4 linked regions of the Schizosaccharomyces pombe genome follow. The protein of the gene in region 4 interacts with the protein of the main gene of each other region in a biochemical or structural test. Each region holds a gene or a part of one and is shown on either strand. Other genes may lie near its edges. The genes, in order: rpn2, cut4, rpn12 and rpn10.

The links.
Region 1: the proteins of rpn10 (region 4) and rpn2 form a complex in vitro, tested with the Schizosaccharomyces pombe proteins (one study listed by BioGRID).
Region 2: the proteins of rpn10 (region 4) and cut4 form a complex in vitro, tested with the Schizosaccharomyces pombe proteins (one study listed by BioGRID).
Region 3: the proteins of rpn10 (region 4) and rpn12 form a complex in vitro, tested with the Schizosaccharomyces pombe proteins (3 studies listed by BioGRID, with this or other methods).

What each region holds. Positions count from the first base shown.
Region 1 is NC_003423.3:3,318,379-3,325,151, forward strand, and holds rpn2 (proteasome regulatory subunit Rpn2), read right to left. Parts: upstream 4,535-6,773; 5' UTR 4,464-4,534; coding exon 4,418-4,463; intron 4,357-4,417; coding exon 1,505-4,356; 3' UTR 1,255-1,504; downstream 1-1,254. Other genes in the region: DNA primase large subunit Spp2, read left to right, coding at 24-615, 659-1,084; dca7 (WD repeat-containing protein), read left to right, coding at 5,651-5,893, 6,009-6,242, 6,283-6,524, 6,589-6,773. UniProt on the Schizosaccharomyces pombe protein: Acts as a regulatory subunit of the 26S proteasome which is involved in the ATP-dependent degradation of ubiquitinated proteins.
Region 2 is NC_003423.3:387,809-396,537, reverse strand, and holds cut4 (anaphase-promoting complex platform subcomplex scaffold subunit Apc1), read right to left. Parts: upstream 5,629-8,729; 5' UTR 5,550-5,628; coding exon 1,173-5,549; 3' UTR 501-1,172; downstream 1-500. Other genes in the region: protein mug2, read left to right, coding at 7,807-8,697. UniProt on the Schizosaccharomyces pombe protein: Component of the anaphase-promoting complex/cyclosome (APC/C), a cell cycle-regulated E3 ubiquitin-protein ligase complex that controls progression through mitosis and the G1 phase of the cell cycle.
Region 3 is NC_003423.3:4,212,486-4,217,228, forward strand, and holds rpn12 (19S proteasome regulatory subunit Rpn12), read left to right. Parts: upstream 1-2,491; 5' UTR 2,492-2,520; coding exon 2,521-2,671; intron 2,672-2,722; coding exon 2,723-3,384; 3' UTR 3,385-3,632; downstream 3,633-4,743. Other genes in the region: crb2 (DNA repair protein), read left to right, coding at 1-938; histone lysine acetyltransferase Rtt109, read right to left, coding at 1,155-2,264; rbk1 (ribokinase), read right to left, coding at 3,662-4,618. UniProt on the Schizosaccharomyces pombe protein: Acts as a regulatory subunit of the 26S proteasome which is involved in the ATP-dependent degradation of ubiquitinated proteins.
Region 4 is NC_003424.3:4,556,451-4,560,763, forward strand, and holds rpn10 (19S proteasome regulatory subunit Rpn10), read right to left. Parts: upstream 2,247-4,313; 5' UTR 2,187-2,246; coding exon 2,161-2,186; intron 2,119-2,160; coding exon 1,972-2,118; intron 1,915-1,971; exon of another isoform or gene 1,893-1,914; coding exon 1,569-1,892; exon of another isoform or gene 1,506-1,568; coding exon 1,271-1,505; 3' UTR 1,101-1,270; downstream 1-1,100. Other genes in the region: rex1 (putative ribonuclease H70), read left to right, coding at 1-844; ATP-dependent RNA helicase Rpm2, read left to right, coding at 2,843-4,313. UniProt on the Schizosaccharomyces pombe protein: Protects ubiquitin chains against dissambly by deubiquitinating enzymes thereby promoting protein degradation.

The sequences.
Region 1 (6,773 bases), on a different chromosome or scaffold from region 4:
TCTTTTCCTAACGCATTCATTAGTGATGAATTACGAATCAGGTTTTTAAGAGCTGAATCCACGTTATTTCGGTTTCGATTTGTGAATGAGGAAACCCGAGAACGTCAAGCGTTTATAGATAGTCTTGATTTTCAATGGGAATCTGTTTCACAAGAAGAAAAAGACGTTTTTTATGAAAAGCTACAGGCTTCTTCTCAAAGAAATATAGAAAACGAATCTTTCTTCAAAGTACCTTTTTTTAAAGTTCCGGATTTAGTAGAACGAAGGGCTGTTTTCGTTCACAAGGGATACGCTTACGTACCATTTTCGGAACAAGTAAGTCTAGTTGTTGAAGAGTTTGAAGAAAACTTAAAAAAAGCGCTTGAGTCTACCGCAAAATCTCTTCCTAGGCTTGATGAAGACGATCGTCTTTTGCCAATTCTCAACCATTTGAGTAAAGGATTCGTTGCTCCCGAGAGTTCAATAGTTGCTCCTAAATCTGGTGCTATTACTGCTGGACAAGTAGACAGTTTTGTTTCACATTTTCCATTATGCGCCAAACATTTACATGAAGTACTTAAGCGTGATAAGCATCTACGGCATTTTGGCCGTCTTCAATATGGGCTATTTTTAAAAGTATGAAACTTATTTTTTATGTAGTAATTTACTAATTTTTCAGGATATTGGCCTTTCTGTCGACGAAGCTTTGGTCTTTTGGAGGAAAAGTTTTACAAATGTAACAGAAGACAAATTTAACAAAGAATATCGCTACAATATTAGACATACTTATGGACTTGAAGGAAATAGGAAAAATTACAAGGGTTATAATTGCCAGCAGATCCTTACAGGGCCTCAACTTGGTCCTGGAGATGCCCACGGTTGTCCTTATCGTACATATTCAGTAAATAATCTAGTGTCAGCATTGGCTTCCATGGGAATAGCACCGGATTCTGCCGGATGCCGTGAAGTTGTTGAGGCAGTTAAAGCGAGGCATTATCATATTGCGTGTACGCGTGTTTTTGAGCTTACTCATCCAAATGTCGGTTCGCTGGAGGAGAGCATTCACCATCCCTTACAATATTTTCAACTTAGTTTAGAATCATAAGCTAAGATACTTTTAGTTCACGATTATCATAACACATTTCAATTTTTGTACAATAGGTATTGAACACTTTCAAAATACATTTCATAGCTATAATTCAAAAATCTAATTACCGGCAGGCTGGTTATATAGATGAATAAGCATTGTTACTAATAAAAGGCAATAATACCAAATCAACGTAAAAAACATGATATTTAATTTAAAAAACGTAATTGAAAACTTTTTAAATTTATCATCAAAATGAAATTGTCTAGCAATCTTCCGAACACTCAGTTCCGTAGAATAAATACGTTAACTTCAAACTACAAGTCTATTAACATATGAAAACGTTTGTATTTAATCTGAAGAGATGCAAGTAACAATCAAGATGTTCTTACAAACGTATATGGTTTTTTGAGACTAGCAGGATGTACTTCTGGGAATCTAATCATCATCATCAAATGGGTATTCAAAATCTTCAGGAGGAGAGGCCTCCTGTTCACCAGGCTCTGTATCTGCACTAGCAGGTACAGCGTCTCTATTCAGTTCAATTAAATCTGGAGCTTTATCAGACTCACGATCGATAAGCATAAGAACACCACCGGTAAATTTGCGAACCGGATAATAACGGCCATTAAGGTTAAATGAAATATATGGAAGCTGAGCAGGAACAACCCGCGTGAAGTTCTCTAAAGTTTCAGACTTAGGTTCTTCTTTTTTAGAGTTGCCGTTGATGCTTATATCCTGACTTTTTTCTTCATCCATTTCCATCGGAGTGGCCTCTTTCTCTTCAGTTGTCTTTTTGTCGATTTTCATTTCGTCATCATTTGAACCTTTACTGGCTTTTTCACGTTCAGCACGCTTGGCACGTGCTTGAGCTTTGACTGTAGTAGAGAGCACGGCAGTTTCAACTTTTTGGACCGTTTTAGCAGTGGGTTGTACGGACTTTGGAGGATAGGCAAACAGTTTAGGACGAACATTTGAAATAAAAGAAAATTTGGGTGCATTCAAGTTTTTATCCAGACCTATCAGCGCAGTAGGTGAGAAGGAAAGAGACATAAAATGCGTGAGTGGAAACCAGTACCAATATTGAAGAAAAACAGTTAATCCAACAATTGCAGACAATTTCAAACTACCAGTAGCTGTCTGAAGAGCAATAGTAACGTTACGACCGCCGGCATCAATAATACCTTGAGCCAATGTTGCGCCCAATTTAGCAAGCGCGTCTTCATGTTTTTCGTTGATGACTTGTTCAAAATGTTTTCGAATTCCAGAAACCTTACTATTCAATTGATCGTTGTGTTGAGTGAGAATCATTGCTTGAGCAATCATGGCACCTTGGCGAACAAAATCCGTTGCATCTTCAACAAGGCGGCTCAATAAATCTAGTGCAGCATTGGACCCCGAGTTTGCACAGGCAATTCCTAAAGCGATTGCACTACCATATCTAACATGAGGGTTATAACTATCAACGAGCAGCTCAACCGTTGAAATCAGAGCGTTAGGATCCTTGAAACAGATAAAACCTAAAGCACAAACTGCAGCACGACGAACATCATCATTGACATCACTAACTGAGATATGAAGTACGTCTCTAACTATTTTGCTATTGCTTGTACCACAATAAGCCAAAGCGGTAGCGAACATGCCTGCATAACGGAGAGTAGGGTCCAAATCATTATTCAGTTCTTTAATTATACCGTCAGCTTCTTGCTGACGTCCATAAACAATTAATGCAATACCGATGCCCAAACCTCGAATAATCTTCTCATGCTGCGTCTCATGTGCATACTGCAACATTTCATCAATGGCGGCAGAAGAAGCTGTACCAAGCATTATGAGACCCATGGATATACCAGCGGCAGACCCAGCCACGGCATTATCGTTAAAAAGGATAGTCTTAACAGATTCATAAAGGGTTTCGTCCCTACTAGCCATGCCCGTTAGGCCAATTCCAAGTAAGAGACCATACTGAACAATCTCATCTTCGGTATGTTTCAGTTGTTCGCGCAGATACTCAGTAACACCTCTTCCATGATTAGCATGAATCAACCCCATGGCATAGAAAGCACCACCTTCAGAATAAGTAGAGCTTGATGGCGCATCTTCTTCCGGCAGATAAGGACGAAGAATGTTCATAGCTTGATTATAATATCCTCGATGGATGACACCCAATGCAGCTGTTGCAGTAAATTTTGACCAGTTGTTGGCCTTGGATAACCAGGAAAGGTTGTCGCGGAAGAAACTATCCGAGGAAGTACCGAAGTTCATGAACGCATTGGCGAACGTAACTGCATTATGAAAAACCGAGTTCCTGGCTTCTAAAGAATCTTTCGTCCTGTTCAGAATAAGCATATCCGTATTGTTATGTGCATATAAAAATTCACGGTCATATTTAACGGTTTGTTCACCAGACAAAATTCGAATAATATAACCACAAGGAGAAGAATCCTCCTTTTTCGAATCAGCGTTAGCGTCCTCTTCGGAATTGGCCACAGAGGGAGAAGGAAGCAAATCCATCACACTATTTAAAAACTCTTGTGGAGCCGAATCTTCAAGATCAAAGGCTAATTGATACGCTGTCAATAAGCTTTTGTCATCGTTTTGAGAAGATAGTTTCATTAAAAGTTTGGCTGCAACAGAGGCATCGTTCAAATGAACAACGCATTTTCCAACTGAGAAATAATCAGGTTCTGTTTCTGTCAGAAAAGAACTTAGTAATAGACGAAGTAAGCGGTTTCGGAATTCAATGTCTAAAACAACAGTCATTGCAAGTTCCAGTACATAAGGCTTTAAATCTGTCTCTTTGTCTGCATTTAAAATGTATTCAATAATGTCAAGTCGATGAGCCTCGATAGCAATTCCCAAAACATGTCTCCATTCGTTTTTAGCATAACATTTTTGAAAAATGCCCTCGACTACGCCACTTAGTCTCTCGTCCAAGGGGTCAGCCTTTGGATTTTTGTACAACTCTGCACTTTTATGAATAAACATATCAATACATTTGAAAATTAGTGTTTCTTTGTAATCACTATTTTTGTCATGCAAAAACTTTGGACCACTTGACAAGGCAAACAAAAGAGCCTCATCATATTCTCCAAGGTAATAATAAACTTTTGAGACTACCAAGGCTGCTAATTCGCGTTCAGGAAATGAATGGTCCTCATACATAACCTCAATTTTCGTAACATCATCCGATATTTCCGGCCATAATTGATCAATAAACTCATAAATTTTTAGTAAAGCATGTACTTGTAATTCTCGCTCTTGCTCGTCCAGCAGGGCCATCAAACCACCTATCAAAAGGATTAGTGAACATGATTTCTACATTTTTTCATTGTTTAACGCTCGACGTACCTGCTGACGTTATAATAGAGGTGTTATCAGAGTACACCATAGTCATTTCGACGAAACTAGACCTGTTTATTTAAATCTTACAAACTATATAACAGCAGGTGGTGTTTCGTTGTTGGTAAATACCCTGAACCGTTGTGCTTCATTCCACCAACACATTCGGTAAGGGTAGGGCACTTGTACCAATAAATGTTTCAGGTATATTAAATGTAATGCTATATCATGTTATCCACACCACACCACCTAAATAATATTCAGTATTATCGAAAAAAGTCAAATTGTATGTTTCATCAACTATGTAAGATATCTCAACCCAATGAGGGATTTATATGAGTATCGTATCAAAATGAACGAACTAAGTAAAGCTATTCTGATCGTTCTATAATATGATTCTCATTGCCTTCTTATCATTCGCTTTTAGTATCGATAAATTTATAGTCTTTAGCTTAACAAAGTAGCTAATTTTTGTCGAATTTTTTTTTTAAAGCATTATAGTTGTTTGACTTCACAGTTATACTTTCATTAGTATTTTTTGATAGTATATATTACGCTGGGATCATTCGTTTAACTTGCAGTACGTATCAATGCCTAGTACAATATTACTTTACAAATACAATGTAATATAACAATTATCATGGTTCAGTAGCTTTGCAAATGAACTGTTTGATCAAGAAAATTTAATGTATTTCATAATTTTTCTCGAAGTCAATTCTATCAGTAATGAAATAACTAAGCCACATGGATGCGTCCAGAAATGATATCGAGGCCTTCCCATGCCACAATGTTTTTGGCTTTATTAAAACCACTGTTTTTTATTGCTGGCATGTTAATTGAATGGACATTTTTCGATGTCGTCAAACTGGAAGCAAACAGAAGCTAAAGTAACCCGAAATGTATTTTGTTAAAACATAACTATCTTAACTCTAAATAGATATAAAAAATTCTGTGTTTCACGCATACAATGATATTAATGTATATGTAATGATACCTTAACGGAAGCGCTGAGTACGGGATCAAAGGTCAATCAACAAAAAAGGGTGAAGCAATTGTACGCAGTCGCTTCTTTTAATTTACTAAAAAATTATTGAATAGGAAAAAAATTACAAATATAATAAAACAATTCTTCATTTTTGCGTTTTCGCTTTGCAGCCGGTATTCGCTGTTTGCTTTGTATTGAATATACATCATAAGTGGGGCGCTTACTTACTTTATCCCAATATCCACACTTCGCGCACAATGACAGATTTACGTAGAAATAGGTATTCAATATCTGCTGGCGTTGGAAAATCAGTACTTGATTCACTTGGCAAATTCTACGGATCGCCCAAAAGACAACTGCCTAACAAATTTGAAGCGGGAAAAGAATATACTGGATACAATGCACCGTGGATTCCATTTGCCTTGGATTGGTTAAAACAAGGAAAATATTCTAGTGAATGGATTGCTATGGGAAGTTTGAATGAAGAACCAAATAATATGGTATGCTAATTGCAAAACCAGGGGAAATATTATATAATTTTATCTGTGCTTCTTTTGGCATAGACTCCAAAGATGTACTCTGTTCTACGAAGTTACTAACCAAAAAATTGTTTAGATACAATTGTTAAAACTAATAACTGGGGATGATGGAAATTCTCACTTGGAAAAGGCGCAAGCAGCAACTGATCTTGAATACCCAGTTACGAAGTTGTTATGGAATCCTTCATCGGTTGGTTCTAACACCGACTCCCAGTTGCTAGCTTCTACGGATCAGCAATTGCGATTATGGAAAACCGATTTTGAAGCGGGGATTGATTCTCCTTTGTTATGTCAAGCCTCTTTATCTACCGTATGATTTTCTTTTTTCTTCTTGGCGACTAATGTTATAGCATGTAAAAACTCATAATAATGCTCCTCTAACTTCGTTTGATTGGTGCAAAACTGATCCTTCATATATCGTAGTGAGTAGCCTTGATACCACTTGCACAGTTTGGGACATTGTAGCCCAGCAATCAAAAACACAATTAATTGCTCACGACAAAGAAGTTTATGACGTTGCGTTTCTCAAGGACAGTATCAATGTTTTTGTTAGCGTAGGAGCTGATGGCAGCGTCCGCATGTTTGACTTGAGGTATGCGATCCACAATCGGCAATTGGATTTTTCCTTTTGACAGTAGTTTGTTAACTTTCTTTAGATCATTGGATCATTCCACGATCATATATGAGGGCGATAGCACCTTTTGGAAGAGAAACGGTGACTATACAAATGCTTCTCCTCCTGTCTCAGCTCCTTTACTTCGACTTTCTGCTTGCGATTCCGATGTTAATTTAATGGCAACTTTCCACCATAATTCTTCTGACGTCCAAATGATTGACATCC
Region 2 (8,729 bases), on a different chromosome or scaffold from region 4:
TGTTATTCCAAAAGTACAAATGAACACGAACGATAATTCGATACACCTGAGACAAAAAATAAGAAGATAAGCTAAATCGACTCTGAGTCCTTCAAAGATAATCTATAGCAGACAAAAATAGATAACAATAGTTATAGCAAGCGTTCAAAAATACAAATTAACATAAACCGACGTTACAGATTCACGGTTTTCACAACAATACTGAGCCTTTCACTCTTAGCGCAGAACCAAAGGTGTATTAAGTAAAACTACAAGTCTTTTTGATACAGAAAGCTTTTGTAGAATTAGCGGCTTTCGAGAAACGAGCTATTCACACTTCCTATGCGTTCGCAAGCTTCAATTTGTGTTTTGCTAACGAAAGAAGTGTTGTGTCATAGGATGCAAGGTTGAAGTCATGCCCTTACTACCCCTCAAAAACGAAGGAATTTTTAATGAGGCGAATAATCGTACGTAAATTATAATAGGGGAATTTAATGTAGATCGTTACAAAACTTCAGCATCTCAGTGCATGTCGGATTTAAAGACTTCTATTTAAATTTTAAGATTGAATTCGTCAGGTGGATTTAGATGGTTTAATACAGTGTATTAATTATCGGGTGTAATTCATTAAATTATAATATTTGGAACCGTTACTCGAAAGTCATAGATTCGAACATCAAGAACTTATGTAAACAGCATACAACGATATAGTGTTAGTTAGTAGCTCGAAGTGTCATGCTTAAATCAATTAATTAACGAAAGGAGGGAAAAGATATAGAAAAAGGATAAAAAAGCTAATCTATTTTCAACGGCGCCTTGAGACAGGCGGTATTACCCCTTGAAGAACCATGGGTGCTTAGTAGTTGTCGCAATAATATTCTTTTTACTTTGCCCAGTGAAATAGTTTGAGCATCAGTATTCCAATTAACAATTTATTATTAACTTCGATTTCCTTTTAACAAACCATTATTTGAAGATAGCTATTAATCATGATCGTGAAAAAAGTGTTGCATTGGATATGCCACCTTGTATATTAATTGAGACATTAAGGTATTTATACAAGTCGTTAATTTTAAGGGGTTCTATTTTTTTAAACTTCAATTTTCCTTTTGAAGGATTGATATGATGGAAAAGATTTTTGGAAACCATTCAGCCCATTAGCATATCATATAATTAATAAACGTAGTTCATAATTATACAGATTCTTCATTATGATTATGAGAATACACATACTCCCATACTCTCAAACTCAAATCTTCTACCAAATCACGAGAAAGGAAAAGATATTGACGGGAGTGAAACTTATTCAAGAGCACACCAGTCCAACAAGACTCAAAAAATTGTAACAGTATTTGCAAACTTAATAAACGGTCTCTAGTTAAATTATCAAAGTCCATAGACAGGAGTAATTTAACGCCTAGAGAAGTTTTATTATTTGATTCTTGTAACGATGCAACGTTTAAGGGGCTATTCGAGCTTTGGAACAACCTGCTTGTTTTTACCAAGTTCCAAAGTGGGCTTGAGGTATCTTTAAGCTTAGGGAATAGATTAAGTGGCTCTTCTTTTGAACTTGTTCGGTCATAAGGCATCAGTGTCAGTGTTTGTGATTCCCTTAATAGTTCACGGTAATCACTGTTATTGTCCAAATCAATTTTTAAATTCCAATACTTATCACCCAACGTCGACACTGAACTAATGCTATCGTACGGCGGCAAAAGTATAGGCGCTTCTAGTTTTTGAACTGCGCCGCTTTTTTGAACAACATTTAATGGCACTATGCATGGCTGTTTGGTATCTTGATTTCTCGGGATAATACAACGTTCTTCCACAGCTAAAGCCCACAAATTTCGAGCAGCTTGCAAATGTGCACGATTATCTTGAGTAGTCCTGGGAAATTGCGGATAAAATGATATTAACAAAGCCGCGATTGCTAAATTACTGCGAGACAAACTATACCTTCCTCCACCTAGCGAAAGAATTCCGAGCGCCATATGAGTAGCCATTTGAGCCCCGTAGTTCACAGGCTCCATTCTCCCATGTAGTACTCTTAACCTTCTCAAAACATCTAGATCACAATAACCCGCCATAACACAAGAAGAAGACAAAGCGACAATTTGTGTACAGCGAATTACAGTCACTGCAGTTACTCTTTCATCGTGTGTTTTAGCAGGCAGATGACACAACCGAATGAAGCTATCTAAAAAGTTGATGAGAATTTCCTTGGCTTTCGGATTACCCGTTCCAGCAAACCTTAAACCTAAAGAAAAACAAATCCCTGCTAAGACATTATAAAGCAGCAAGTCGTCAGAAGAGAGAACCTTTTTTTCCTGTAAATCAAATTGTGAGAGCATTATATCAGGAATTTGATATTTCACCCATTCATAATCTGCTTTGACTTCATCCCACATAATTAAGTTTTTACCGGCAACTCGCAAAAGTATTAGATCTGGACGATAGAAATCAAGAAGATATCGCGATTTAGGAATATCAATTTTTTTCGCAACTTCCAAATCATTAGTCTTCATATATATCATAGTCAAAGCCATAATGGCCCCGGGAGAACCGGCTTCTAAAGACTGAAATGTAGCCTGACTAGATATTCCCACTTGTAGCCTTGAAACGAGTTTTAAATCAGACATGCCTGGAAGATTAGATCCTCTCCCTAAATTAATTAAACCAAGAGAAAATCCAGCAGCTAACTTATAGCCTTCATTCTTTAGTTCGCTTTCATTAGAAGCCAAAATCTCTTCCATGGTCACTTCAGACATGCGTCTATGACACGAATCATGAAATAATAAACCAATTCCTAGAATTCCTGCAGTCTGAGTTAATGGTGAAATATTCAATTCATTAGATCCAACTGGCAGTAATGCTGAAATGTGCACACTTAGCAATTTTGTAACCTTTGCATCCATACTCCCCAAATACGAGGATGCAAGTCCAAGTAAAAGGCCTATACTGGTTGTATCATGCTTGCTAGTAAGATAAATAAAAGAATGCCAGGTAGCAAGGGCCTTTAAATGACCGTTTAGCCCTAGACCAAAAAGAAATCCCGCATGGTAAGCAGTCAAAGTTTCAGGTCGATTGAACATAATCCAACTAGTGTTTATTTCCTTTGAAAACTTAGATATCGATAATCCTAATGCAACGCCAACATTAAACTCTGGCCACTCGGTTAATTCCTGTGTTACGAACTCTTTATTAGGTTGTATAATTAAAGTTCCAGGATGCAAGTGCAATGTAAAATTAAATAATCGTGGAGTGACCTTTTCCGTAGGTAAAGGATTTTTACTACCATACGTAAGCATACCCGCTCCAATTGGCACGGACAATGTTCTAACGCAAATGCATTGAGCAACTTTTTGTTGCATTGGTACTGAACTCAAGTCGACATCAAAGTGTTCAGTCATTATGGTGATTTGACTTGAATAATTTAAAAGTTTATTCACTTCTGCCAGTCGTCGATCCTCTCTAAAAATCATATCCGTTACAACCTTATAAGGATGAAACGACTGCGTGTCAACAAGTGTAGAATCGGTAACTGTACTAGTGAGTGCTTTTATTTCTTTGACTTCTTGATCCTGCTTATTAAAAACCCATTTAGGTGTCTTTGGATGTAAGAATGAATCAACGTCAAGGCGATTGACTAATCGAAGCTCTTCGCTTTCCCAATTCGGAGAATACTCTTCAGCGGCAATCTCGAGTACTGTAAAAATAATGCATAAAATTCCAAATGGGTATCTTTCACACCTCTTTCTTGAAATTCCTAACCGTACCATTTCTTCAACTAAGTTTTGAAGGGTCATATTAGGATTTAGCAAGCAATCGAGTAACTGCATTAAAGAAAGGGTTTGGGGAAACATAGTAGAGCAAGAATGTGGTAGCCCATAACTTTCCAAGCCATAAAAAGGTACTGTAGATTGCGACCTTAAACATTCAATAATCCACTGTAAAATCGATGTTGGACCAACAGGTTCCTCAACATCAACTTGAATCGATAAGGGTATAGATAGAAATGTTTCAGCGATATCAAAGTTATAATACTCGCAATACCGTGGCCACTTCAACCACGTGGTGATTTGAAGTAATAAAGCTACAAGCTGATCTTTACGAGGCTTTACAACCGAATCCAACCGCAATTCTTCAGATATAAAATGTAAGGTAATAGCTAAGGGCATCAAGTAATTTTTGAATGTTGAGTAATCAAGATGAGATGAGAGCTGAGAAGCAATAAGTATTTCTTTTTTAAAATGAAACTTAGAGGACAGACTGTAAGCTTCATTGCAATCTTCAATTGGTTCAACATGAACTTTATCTCGAGAAAAGAAAGTGAAACAGGCGAGTATTGAAGATATGAAAGCCTCATCATGGCTAAGCTTAAAAGCAAAAAGCGCGTAAAGATGTCCAGTATAAAAAATTTCATATTCACGCAAGGGCAAAACATAACGAATAACACTTAAACACCATTTTACCAAGCTATTGGATGCTCTGTTATCTAGAGATATATACCTCTGCACTCCATCGGTGTCCTCTAAGTAAAGTGTGGCACCATGCACACGAAATGAACGAAAGGTACCCTCAATAGGCAAAGATGGCGACATTGGAGACTCGAGACTCACCTTCCCCTTTGAAGACAGAACAACAATTTTTTGCAAATGCTTAGATTTAATAGCACTCAAATTTATTGCATGTAGTTGAAGCGAATCTAAGAAGTAAGGAGATCTGTCACGAACAAGGCGAAACAACATCATGTAGCCTTTTTCAAGCTCTTTCACTAAAGTGGTGATGACCAAAACACCATTTCCAAGGATTGAATCAAACGAAGTACTTCCGGTGATAGGAAAAGACTCTATGTGAGAAAATATGGTCGAATAAGCGAGTCCTTGTTCCTCGAATTTTTCAGAAAGACGAGTATTGGCGGTATAATGGATAGAATCAGAGCGAGTTAAGTCAGGATTCTTTTCACGAGAAAAAGAGCTTTCCCTTCTTCTGTTACGTGAGCTTTTTATTGACTGGTCTGACTCTGGATCAATAAAGCGACTCCTCCAAAAACTCAATTTTTTTTCTTTTTTATTATGTGTTACGACGATCTCTCCCACGACATAAACGATTGAATCAAACAGAGATAGTATTTTTTTTCCGTCAAATTTTATTAACGTAAGTTCATCTAAAGGATCGTTTAGACAAAAAATATGAGGCAAGTCAGTATTCAGATTCTCATCGCTCGAACGATGACGCTGAAGATATAGTCCACTTGGTGAACTCCATGCGCTTTCTGTTGAAAAAGGAACGTTTATAATATAAGAATCATTATTATTGTCGCCCACATAGTATACATATCCAATGTCGTCCAGAATCACAACAATTGCCTTTTTTCCAGATGCAAATGTAGTAATAAGGGCAGCATGTATCTTTTGTTGATCTACGGTATAATTAAATACACGATTTAAATGGTCATTCACAATATAATGCACAGCATCTCCAATGATTTCAACCCGATCATTCTCTTGCAAATCTAATGAATCCTTTAATTCAGGGTCTTGAATAACATTTGTTTTTAATTCTAGCATTTCAGCATCTAGTAACGATAATCAATAACTCAGTTCCGTTTACAATTTCGCATTTCCTTTTTAGCATGAAGTTGTAGGTGAAATCTGAGTGTCAGCGTATATCTAGTGTAAACAAACCAGCATCTCTTACCAAACTTACGTTAGCTAGACAATTAAAAAGTCAACCTACAGAACTTAGTGCTTTTACAAAATCAATTAAATTTAACTTGGATCTTTATATTCCCCAATTCCAGTATTTATCACGCATTGGTTTATTTGAAGACTAGAAATCTTTTTTTTGGAATACTGATAATTAAAAATACTCTAACGGGAAATTGTTTTATGCATTAAAATATCATTTTTGTTTCTCTTTTTTACAGGAATTTAGTTATAAAATCATGTCGATATAGACGACCGACTTGCCATTTCAAACTACAAGTCAGTACTTACATCCCCAGTGTCGAGGATCCATATGGAATATAAGATGCCTTACTATAGGAGTGTGTACGACAAAAGCAAGCAGTAAATTCCTTGAAGTTTAGAGTGAAGGCTTTGGGTGTTTCTATCATAACATGCAGGACTACTTAGACATTTTATTACTGTATAAAGGTTGAGCCATATAGCTGTATAGGGGGATGTAAATAATATTTTACCATACTTTATTCATTTATTTATGAAGATTTCAATGTTAAATATTATTTGGGTATAATAATGTTTGCTATATAAAAGGTAATTTCTGTCTACAGGATAATTATAGGTGCTAAAGCATAAAAGGTAACGATTGCAAGGCAATTTGTTTTTGGTCGAGTAATAAACAAAAAACTTCAAAATGAAGGACTTGACTATTTTTAAATTTTACTAACTTACGACATTTTTAATATGGAATGAGCTTAAGGATCTTTTGCCATCGTCTTGCATTGTGACAAACTTGGTGAGTATTCTGCTAATTTTCTAATATCTTCCATAAAAATATTGCAGTAACTTGAATGGAACAAGTGGTTTGTGCTTGCCTCTCGTTTAATCCTAAAGGTCACTAGTTTGTTTATATATTAGTTTGTAACATGATTATAGTAGAAAGCGTCACGAAGTCAGCGAAAAATTAAGAATTGAGGAACAAATCTAACTATGTATGAAGTGAGGAAACCCTTAGAAACCGAACATACTTGCAATGGGCTCTGAAGGCAAAAACTCTGCAACCCTGGAGTATCAAAAATGTATTTGGTATTCAGAAAAACTCTGCTTCAATTTGTTCTCATTAGCTTCGGTTATATGTTGCTTAAATCTACAACAATGATCAGGCCCCACATTTCAATGATTTTTCGCGAGAGAATAACTCTAATGAATTTATGAGTCGCATATTGACTATATAAAGCCAGTGAAACAAATGGCTTATAATGCAAAAAAATACGGCTATGAGCCTTCTAAATTAATATCTCCATAAAGTAAATATCTTAGATAATAAACTGTGGATTTCTTTGCAACAATTTCTATGCTCTATAATGTACTATCCATCCTGCTTTTGCAATAAATAGTTTATCATAATTTAATATACTTACATTCTATAATGTCAAATTAGCATGACTTGTTGAGGTTCTTTATGTTAAAAGTTAATGATACAATAAACCAGAGCAGCTAATGTAGGAAATTCAATGACAAACAAAATAGTCTGAAATAAAAAGAAATGATTTTTCTATAGACCCAATTAGTAATTCTTTGAAATGAAAAATGATTGCGATTGATCCACCAGAAGTTATAGAACGCTATGGGCAATATTGTAACAGTCATCCTTAGCTATTTACACAAAGGAAAATATATGACAAGAGATTTCTTTAGTTCGTACTTGATTAATCTCTCAGACAAATACAAAAAAAAGAATTATACTAAGTGTTTTCTTAGTAAATAGAACTCGGTTTCAATACCCAATGGTTAAAATAAGACAATGATTGGTATAGACAGTAGAATAATCGGCTATGTATACAAAACGGTTTTTATGCTTTCACTATAAAATATCTCAGCCTAAATTCTTAAATAACCTTTATGTTCACAAGATATTTCATTCTTTGTACATACAATTTAGAGCATATAAAACATCGGTAAAGCGCGTTAAAAATTTTAACGGTTTAAAACATGGCTCTCAATTGTCAGGGATTCACATCTGTTTACATGTCATGGGAGTTTATAAATGATCCAGTACAACATCTTTTCTGTATGGAAGTAGTTCCCCTTTAAGGGAATAATATTATTGATTGTCTTTACTATTTTCGAGCAACTTTTCAAGATGAAAAAAGAAAATTGGCAAAAAATTGAAAATGTGTATTTATTGGGAAAAAAAATTGATAAGGCCAAACGGATGGCAAATAAGGGTGAATCAAATACAAACATGCTCTCAACAGAAGAGAATATAGTCAAAGCAAAAGCTGTTTCTCGCAAAAAACCAGTTGACGTTTCTTACGCAGGGCTTGCAAGACATGAGTCTCATGTTGATACCGATTATCATGGGCAAGCCCTTAATACGGATAATCAAGATCCTAAAAATTATCAAGCTAGGAGCTTTGTAAAAGAGAATGAGCTTTATGAATCATCTCAAGACTGTGGACATAGCAGATTGGCCCAAATTCTAAGCGAAGAAAACCAAATCAAACGCCTTCCTCAAAGCGATAATACAACAACTGAAAGGATAATAGAAAATAACCCAAATTATTCCAATAAACCGAGTAAGCTGAAAAGAGCGTTGAGTGGGGAAAACAGTGTCTTTTCCATCCATCAAAGAAATACCCTGTCACCATCTTCTAATCTGCCACGCATTCCAAGTGATTTGTATGATATTAAACAATTTCTAGAGAATTTAGATGCTCGTTCTTTTAAATCAGACATGGATTTAAAGCGGTCCCAAAACATGAGAAGGAGAGCAACTGGTTATCCGGCCATCGTCGTGCCTTTTCTAAATGGCAGTTTACCCCAGGCCGATTTGCCTCCTTTGCGGACGATCGAAGATATAGATAACCTAACTAGAGAGCAGTGCTTAACATTTATTCAGGGTTACGGAATTCCCATCGATTCTTCTGATACTGTTTATCTCAAAGAAAAGCTTCGAGATGCCATAGGAATGAGAGCATTCACTGACATGAGCTTCGAGATGAATAGCTTTCATTTGGAAAGCCCTAGGTGAGACGCATGGTGCTGGTATACAATGATGTTCGT
Region 3 (4,743 bases), on a different chromosome or scaffold from region 4:
TTGAGGTTACGGTTCCCATTTCTACTATTTATGTTGCTCCTGTGAACATTCGGCGGTTTCAAGGAAGAGACCTCAGTTTTTCTACTTTAAAAGATATGAAGTTTGAGGAAACATCATTTCTTCCTTCACATGATTCTCAGAGAAACCGCTCTTCTTTGAAAGAAAGGGATTCTTCCTTTGTCAAGAAGAACTTGGATTCAGAAAGTAATCAGCTCATCTTTGACGATTGCGTGTTTGCATTCAGCGGTCCCGTGCATGAGGATGCCTATGACCGAAGTGCATTGGAAACTGTAGTTCAGGATCATGGAGGATTAGTTCTTGATACAGGCTTACGCCCTTTGTTTAATGACCCGTTTAAAAGCAAACAAAAAAAGTTACGCCATTTGAAACCTCAAAAGCGAAGTAAATCGTGGAATCAAGCTTTCGTTGTATCTGACACATTTTCTAGAAAGGTTAAATATTTAGAAGCTCTAGCTTTTAATATCCCGTGTGTCCATCCTCAATTTATTAAACAGTGCTTAAAAATGAACAGAGTTGTTGATTTTTCTCCTTATTTATTGGCATCTGGCTATTCACACCGTCTAGATTGTACACTTTCCCAACGGATAGAACCTTTTGATACCACTGATTCTTTATATGACAGACTTTTGGCAAGGAAGGGTCCTTTATTTGGAAAAAAGATTTTATTTATTATACCTGAAGCAAAATCTTGGCAGAAAAAGATTGAAAATACAGAGCAGGGTCAAAAAGCTTTGGCTCATGTCTATCACGCGTTGGCATTGGGTGCTGACGTTGAAATTAGACCAAATGTTGCACATTTGGAGTGTGATTTGATACTTACGATGGATGGAAACATTGTAGATGAAACTAATTGTCCGGTCGTTGATCCTGAATGGATAGTCGAATGTCTTATTAGTCAGTCTGATATTTCTACTTAGTTTTGGTTTTTTGATATAGTTATTTTTACTAACTCCCCCTGAGTTTCACTCTCATTAATTTAGCTTTTTATTAATTTTAGATATTTGTTGTTTATTAATTTATTTGCAATACTGACGAAAAGTGTCAATTTCAATATTAAACAAAAACTTTCTCTAAAAATCTACATGAGAGGATTGATTGGGATTATTAAAAATTTTCAACGAACTTAAAGTCCTTTATTTTTTCACTTTTTTTCGTGGCTGTAGAATATTGGCTTGCGTAGCAGGTTTCGAATGGTTGTGATTTTTACGATCATCACGTTTTGCCAACCCACATATATCTAGCTTGTAGCGCTTATAATGAAAATCCTTTAAATTTTGTACAGCGGAAAGTGTGTTACTAAGAAACTTTTCTGTTGACGACTGTGCATCAGATAAAGAGCCAAATGGATGCTTCAATAAAGTATCGTAAGTGACTCTGTATAATTTAGCTGGAATCATTACACCAGAATCACCAAAATTATCTTTAGCAATAAATTCTCTTGTTTGATAGAACTGTAGCTGTAATGTGAAAAAGCCAACTAGTTTACCTGAGGAGCACTCTTGTCTATAAGTCAGCGTATCCCAAAACTCTTCAACGGACATGTCACTTTTCTCATCTTGAAGCTCGCATAAATACCTACATTTTGGGTCATCTGGAAATCTTGGTAATTCTTCAACTGCTTTTCCAGTTGTTATAGCGTTGCTTTCAATCCAATGACGATTGGGTAAGTACGAACGAATATTTTCAAGTCCAGGAACAAATAAATAAGCCTTAGGAAGTAATGTGGAATTCTTTTGCTTTTCGGAATCGTTTGGTGCTTCACTGTCAGTATAATACTTCCTGAGTTTTTCCAAACAATTTACCCACCAGCGTAACAAACCAGAATCATTCAGCACATGCTTTTGTCCATTGTCCACCGACTCAGGAAATAAATATTGACCTTGAGCAATCGCAAACAGAGTCAAAGTTACATTTTCGGCTCCTTGTTTTCTAAGACCGTCAATAAGTGTCACTAAGCAGCAAAAAGCAAGAGAGTTACAAGATACCCCTTTGCTGCCGAATCCGGTAGAATCTGCTTTAGATACAAATACTATAAACTCTTTGTTTTTTTCGTAAACTATGCATTCCATGCCAAAAATAAATACATTTTGTTCCTCTACCAAAAAAAGATGACTCCCAAATTGAAAATCCTTAGACTTCTTACTTTGACCAAATAGAAATGGACATTTCTCTAAAGTACTTTTAAGATGATAAATACTCAATTTTCTGCCTTCTAATATACTTTCTGACCAAAGATCCGGCATATTCTTTAGTTTAAAGGATAAAGAGAGTTAACGCAACTACAGCAATTATTGTGAGTGAATACTATGTTACAATTGCTTAAGTGATATAATGAATCTAATAAAACAACGTCAAAATCCGTAAGGAGCTTTAATTTTTGCTGGTAAACCTTTATAGTGTGTTCGTTATTGATGACTATTCTGAGATGCATGGCAAGAGGTGTTGTTTCTACAGCTCTCTTAAAAGTTCCAACTTATTACACTCTCAATACACATCAATATGAGTACATTAGACTTGAACCATTTAGCAGATCTTTATGACAGAAAGGATTGGAATGCTTGTAAAAAGGAACTTCTGAAACTGAAAGTCGAACTTGCTAAGCAGAACCTCTTCGTCCCTACTAGCGATAAAGAGAAAGCTAGTTTTGCCAGTATGTTATTTGTATAGTTATCTAAGAACAGACCTCTAATCTTCCTTATAGGAAATGTATTTGAATACGGTGTACTTGTCTCGATTCAAACTTGTGATATTGAATCGTTTGCAAGGTATGCTAGCCAAGTAATTCCTTTTTATCATGATTCCCTTGTCCCTTCATCAAGGATGGGACTTGTTACAGGATTAAATTTGTTGTATCTATTATCTGAAAATCGTATCGCTGAATTTCACACAGCCTTGGAATCCGTTCCTGACAAATCGTTATTTGAAAGAGATCCGTACGTAGAATGGGTTATTTCTCTAGAACAAAATGTAATGGAAGGTGCATTTGATAAGGTAGCATCCATGATTCGATCCTGTAACTTTCCTGAGTTTAGTTATTTTATGAAAATTGTTATGAGTATGGTTCGAAACGAAATTGCGACTTGTGCCGAGAAAGTGTATTCAGAAATCCCCTTATCTAATGCAACAAGTTTGCTGTACCTGGAAAACACTAAGGAAACCGAAAAACTTGCTGAAGAACGAGGCTGGGATATTAGAGACGGTGTAATATACTTTCCCAAAGAGGCCAATGCTTTGGAGACGGAGGATGGTATGCTTATTGATGAGGAAGACGAATTGGAGCTTCCTCCCACTGCTAGCAAGCACACAATTTCGAGTATTCGTCAATTACTGAGTTACACCTCAGAATTAGAGCAGATTGTTTAATGAATCAAACATCTTGTTTGATGGTAATTACTCTTTCTACAAAAGTCAAGGCGTTTATTTCACTTCCCTCTTATTAACAAACGAATCATATTTTATGCTATAACCTTTATTATTCGTAAGAGATACCTTTTGTTCTCATTAACTTGAGCAACATGCAAGTTTATGTTCAATACTGAAAAAGAGTTGATGAAGTTATATGAGATAAGAATGTGTAGAAATCTAAAATCGAATTATGCTTTTTTCTTCCCTTTGTAAGGTAACGCGTAAAAGCCAGAGGCTATGTATTCTTTTTTAGGTTAAAGGAACCATCGACTTCAAGTAAGGAAGGAATAGAACTTGCAGCTCCCTTTCTCTGTACAGTAATAGCACTACATTTAGCAGCAAATTCCAGTGAGTCCTTAAGTGGCTGTCCGTGTGCAATTGAATTAGAAAAGGCACCAATGAAGGTATCGCCAGCGGCAGTCGTGTCAACGGCTTTCACTTTGCATGCTGAGACCAAAGCAGATTCTCCGTTCGCAGACTTATAGTAAGCACCTTGGCTACCAAGGGTTATAATTACGGCTTTACGGACACCGAAGCTTAGTAACTTAGAAGCATATGCATCCACATTTTCCAACGTAGCAGGTGAGTCTGCTTGATTTAAGAGAATGGCAGCTTCATGTTCGTTAGGTACAAGATAGGCACAATAAGATATCATGTCATGACTAAGCGGAATCGCTGGTGCTGGATTCATCAAAACATCGACACCATGTTTGTGAGCGATCTGCAATGCAATTTCCACTGCTTCTAAAGGAATTTCTAATTGCATAATTAGAAGATTACATGTTGATATTCTTTGCTCCATGGCCTTCACAAACGCAGTATCAACATTACCGTTCGCACCCTCAGAAAGCAAAATTCTGTTTTCTCCCGTTTCTTCGACAATAATCATGGCAACACCTGTGGACTTGTTTTCAATCTTTTTGACATTATCTACATTTACGCCGTCTTTCTTCAATCCGGACAACATTTCCACCCCAAAGGCATCATCACCTACGCATCCCAACATAGATACTTTCGTATCAGCCGGATTTGATAGCCTAGCAACAGCTACAGCTTGATTAGCTCCTTTCCCACCATTTCCTGTACTGAAGCCATCTGGTTCTCCATGAATCGTCTCACCACCTGAGGGACATATCTTTGTACGCATTACGAGATCGGTATTCATACTCCCTAAAACGACTATATTAATCATTTTAAAAAAATATGGCAACAAAAACAAGAGAATTTGAAGAAATTGAGCAAGAGTATGAATTAGTAGATGTCGTTGGCAATGCTACTTGGCAAGTTATTTATCAATTAATTTAAGAAGGAAGAATG
Region 4 (4,313 bases):
CAATACCGTTCTTTTAGGCCATAGTCTAAATTCTGATCTTAATTGCTTAAAATTTACACACCCTCATATCATTGATACGGCAAACATTTATAATCACACTCGTGGTCCCCCTTCAAAACCATCGCTTAAATGGCTTGCAACGAAGTGGTTGAGGCGTGAGATACAAAAAGCGGGAGCTCTGGGGCACGATTCTGCAGAAGATGCTCTTGCTTGTGTGGATCTTCTAAAGTTGAAAGTTAAGAATGGACCTGCCTTTGGGTTGTTTAACCAAGACTTTGAGTCAATCTTTCATAGATTGTCACGACAGCAGCCAACTCCATTGATTGGTGCAATTGCCGACTATGGTAATCCGGAGTCGTGCATTGGCAAAGCGGCTCATAAAAGCGTTTCTTGTGCGAATGATGATGAAGTCGTAAGCGCTGTTGTAAGTCTTTCAGACATGCATAACTTCGTGTGGGGTCGTTTTCGCGAATTGGAGCATGCGGCTATGTGGAACGCTAATCGAAATACAAAACAAGAAAACAACTCTGATACTGATACAGAGAATGATTCGGTAGAAGAGGACCAAGTAACTAGCTATTCTTCTGCTTTAGAGCGTTTTAATCGAAGAATTCGTCTTTTATACGACTCCTTACCAAAAGGTTCTCTATTGCTTTTGTATACTGGTACTGGAAATCCCATCGAAATGTCAAAATTAAACGCTATTCGCCAACAATTTAGAAAAGAATACCAGACCAAAAAATGGGATGAGCTATCAGTAAAATGGACTGATGAAGAAAATATGAAATATATATCTGCTGTTGAAAACACAAGGAATGGATTGTCTTTTATGACGATCAAATAAGTGTGTTTTTATATTGCGATCAAGTAAATTTTGGGTAAAGGGTCTGCATTTTATTGGTCATAATAGATAGTTGAAGAAAACAATTGTTTTGGTTTATGTATATGTTGAAATTAAGAAAGGTAAACAGCTAGTCAGACACGTATATTAGGGGCGTTTTTATTATTGGATGCCACTAACGCTACCTTGATTGTAGATTAATACCTTTCCTTCTAGTAATGTGTTTCTAGAATGCGCTAACCTTTTCTACAATGCTAATTACGAAAATGAAACAAAATGCTGCCAATTTATTATTTTGGATATATTTTGAAAAATCATGATTTTTAGGATTCAATCTAATTTAAACGTTGCTGCATAAAGCATGGCTAGTAAAGTACAAGAACGTTAATTTGTCTTTCATAAGGATAAGGAATCGTAGACATCTTCGGATCATTCTTGCATTTTTTTATCCTCAGTTTCTTCAGATGATTTTTGAGCAGCAACTTCTTGACGTGCTCGTTCCTCCGCCATTGAAAGTTCCAAGGCTAACGCCAATTCAACGTCAAGATTAGGATCGACTCCATACTCAAATTGGTTTTGAGAAGCAACTACACCTTGTCCAATAGGGGATTGATTTACCAAATCTGAAAGTAACTGCGGGCTAGGTGGAATGCTGACAAGATGACTAAAATTGTTAATACTAGTAAAAAAAAGAAGCCAAAAATGTCCGAAAAATCCGTAGACTTACCAACTGTCACTTGAATTAGCAGCGTCAATGAAATGCTGCAAAGCTGATTCATTCTGAAGCTCACCAATGTGAATGATATCAATAGCAACATTATTCTTTTTCATACGCTTGGCTAGACGAATAAGATTTTTCTCGTCCTCAACAATAGGAGAACCTACAAATGCAACAATTCTTTGACGTTGAATTTTGTTTTCTCTATGCTTTAAGGCTAACTGCGCAATCTGTATACCATCGCCAAACTTTGCGTTTCCTCGGACAGGCAGGTCGTGCATTGCAGATAAGAATTTACCATAATCTCTGGTTAATGTAGAAAGAACTTGGGGACTAATATGATTAGAATTTCTGTAAAGTATTTTATAGCTGAACATAAAGTACCGTTCAAGCCGTAATATTAATCATATACCTATTATCACCAATTGTCATTAAACCACACATGTTCTCCGGATTATCATTGATCTTTTGATTGAAAATCATATGTACAGTATCCTTTTGAGCTTCAAACCTCGTAGGTATATAATCACCATTAATCATCCATTCTGAATTATCAATTCTGCCATGTTAGAGCAATAATTTAACAAAAATAAATTCTTACAGAATCATCGTTGCTTCTAACACCATCTTGAAGACCTATAATTTAAAACTTAATGCGAAGAAATTTGAAAGAACGCTTGGTAGATTACAGAAGATGTGTTGCAAAGTGAACTAGACAAGGTATTACTACTCACCTTCTCTAGTCATTCTCGGATAACGATATGTAACGCATCACAAAATGAAACATCGAAAAACATGGTGATACACAATTCATTTCCTGTTCGAATCCACAGGTTCTCTAATTTCTTACAGCACGCGTAAATAATCGAAAGCCAACACCAAATGCGTGAAATTGTTATAATACAAGTGTAGGTAATAAACGCTTTTTAAAAAATTTTATATATTTACTGAAGCGGAAAACTGGAATTTAAAGGGTACTGCTGAGATACTAATTTTTTGGAGATACATGCAGAGCTGTTGGTATAACATATTAGAGGCCTCAGCAGGCAACTTGACTGAATCTCGTAGTCAAATTATTACTTTTTTTTTCCTTTTTTAATTAATAGAAGGTAATATTTTTAAAAGCGATAAAGCCAGGGACCTTCAGACGTTTGAGAAGTATTTAATTTTCTATATAAACATTTCTTGTTTTTAAATTACTTTAAATACTTGGATTAAGTTTTGCTCTGGTTACAGGGCGGCCAGCAATAGAGCATTGCTAGAAAGATTTTAACTCGCCAGGAATGTTTTTGGAAACTTTGATTCATGGCGTAACGTTTTGTGTACCGTTTTTTAGCAAGTCTGCTAGAATTCACACTTTATCAAAGGATGTTTTTCAACAAAGGAAATTCCCAGGAAATACCTTGTGGGCTGCTGCCCTCAATCGCTTCACTGCATATTTATTTGCTTCCAAAGAACTTTCGTCAAAACAAGCATACTTAGCCCAAGACTTTGTCAATGTCTGCAAGGATGCCAGTGTCTTTCAGAATGTATACTATTATGAGTTAAAAAAGAATATCCTTACAGATTTAGGATTTTCTGACTTAAAAAACTCTGATAAATCATTGGCTCTTTCAAAATCTTCTTCTACTTTTGACCTTCAGAAAATAAAAAAGATCCATGATTGTTTACTCTCAGAGTATCGGAAGTATGTACGATATCAAGAGCGAATAGAAGAAACAAGACCTGACTTACAAAAGCAATTAACAGATTTAAAAAATCCAATTGAGTGGTATCCAGGAGCGAGAAAACTCAGAAGGCATATCATTATGCATGTCGGCCCAACGAATAGCGGGAAAACACATAGGGCTTTAGAAAGACTTAAGACTTGCAAGAAAGGTATATTTGCTGGCCCTTTAAGACTTTTGGCTCACGAAATCTATAATCGCTTGCAAGCAAACGGAATAGCTTGTAATCTTTACACAGGGGAAGAGATTAGAAATGATTATCCTTTCCCTCAGGTTGTTTCATGTACTGTAGAAATGTGCAACTTATCTACTACTTTTGATGTTGCAGTCATTGATGAAATCCAAATGATGGCTGATCCTTCACGGGGATATGCTTGGACTCAATGCTTGCTTGGCTTGCAGGCTAAGGAAATTCATTTATGCGGAGAAGAAAGTGTTGTTAAATTAGTGCGTTCAATTGCTAAAATGACCCAAGATGATTTTACTGTTTACAGATACGAACGGTTAAATCCTCTCCACGTTGCAGAAAAGAGCTTAAATGGAAAGTTAAGTGAACTCAAAGACGGGGATTGTGTTGTGGCTTTTTCAAGGAAAAACATTTTTACTTTGAAGTCTAAAATTGATCAAGCATTAGGAAAAAAATCTGCCGTTATTTATGGTTCACTGCCTCCTGAAGTCCGTAATCAACAAGCAAGCTTATTTAATTCAAAGAGTTCTGATGAAAATATTTTGCTGGCCTCCGATGCCATTGGTATGGGTCTCAACTTAGGCGTAAAGCGTATTGTTTTCAGCGATTTAAAAAAGTTTAGTGGAGTTTCCACTATAGACATCCCTGTACCACAAATTAAGCAGATAGCAGGAAGAGCTGGCCGACATAATCCCAATGGATCTAAGCAAAGTGCTGGAATAGTAACTACCCTATATCAAAAAGATTTTGCGAAATTAAATCGCGCCATGAATCTTCCTACAAAGAACTTATTCAATGCTTGTATTGGAGCTAAGGACGATTTATTCTTTAGATATTTAT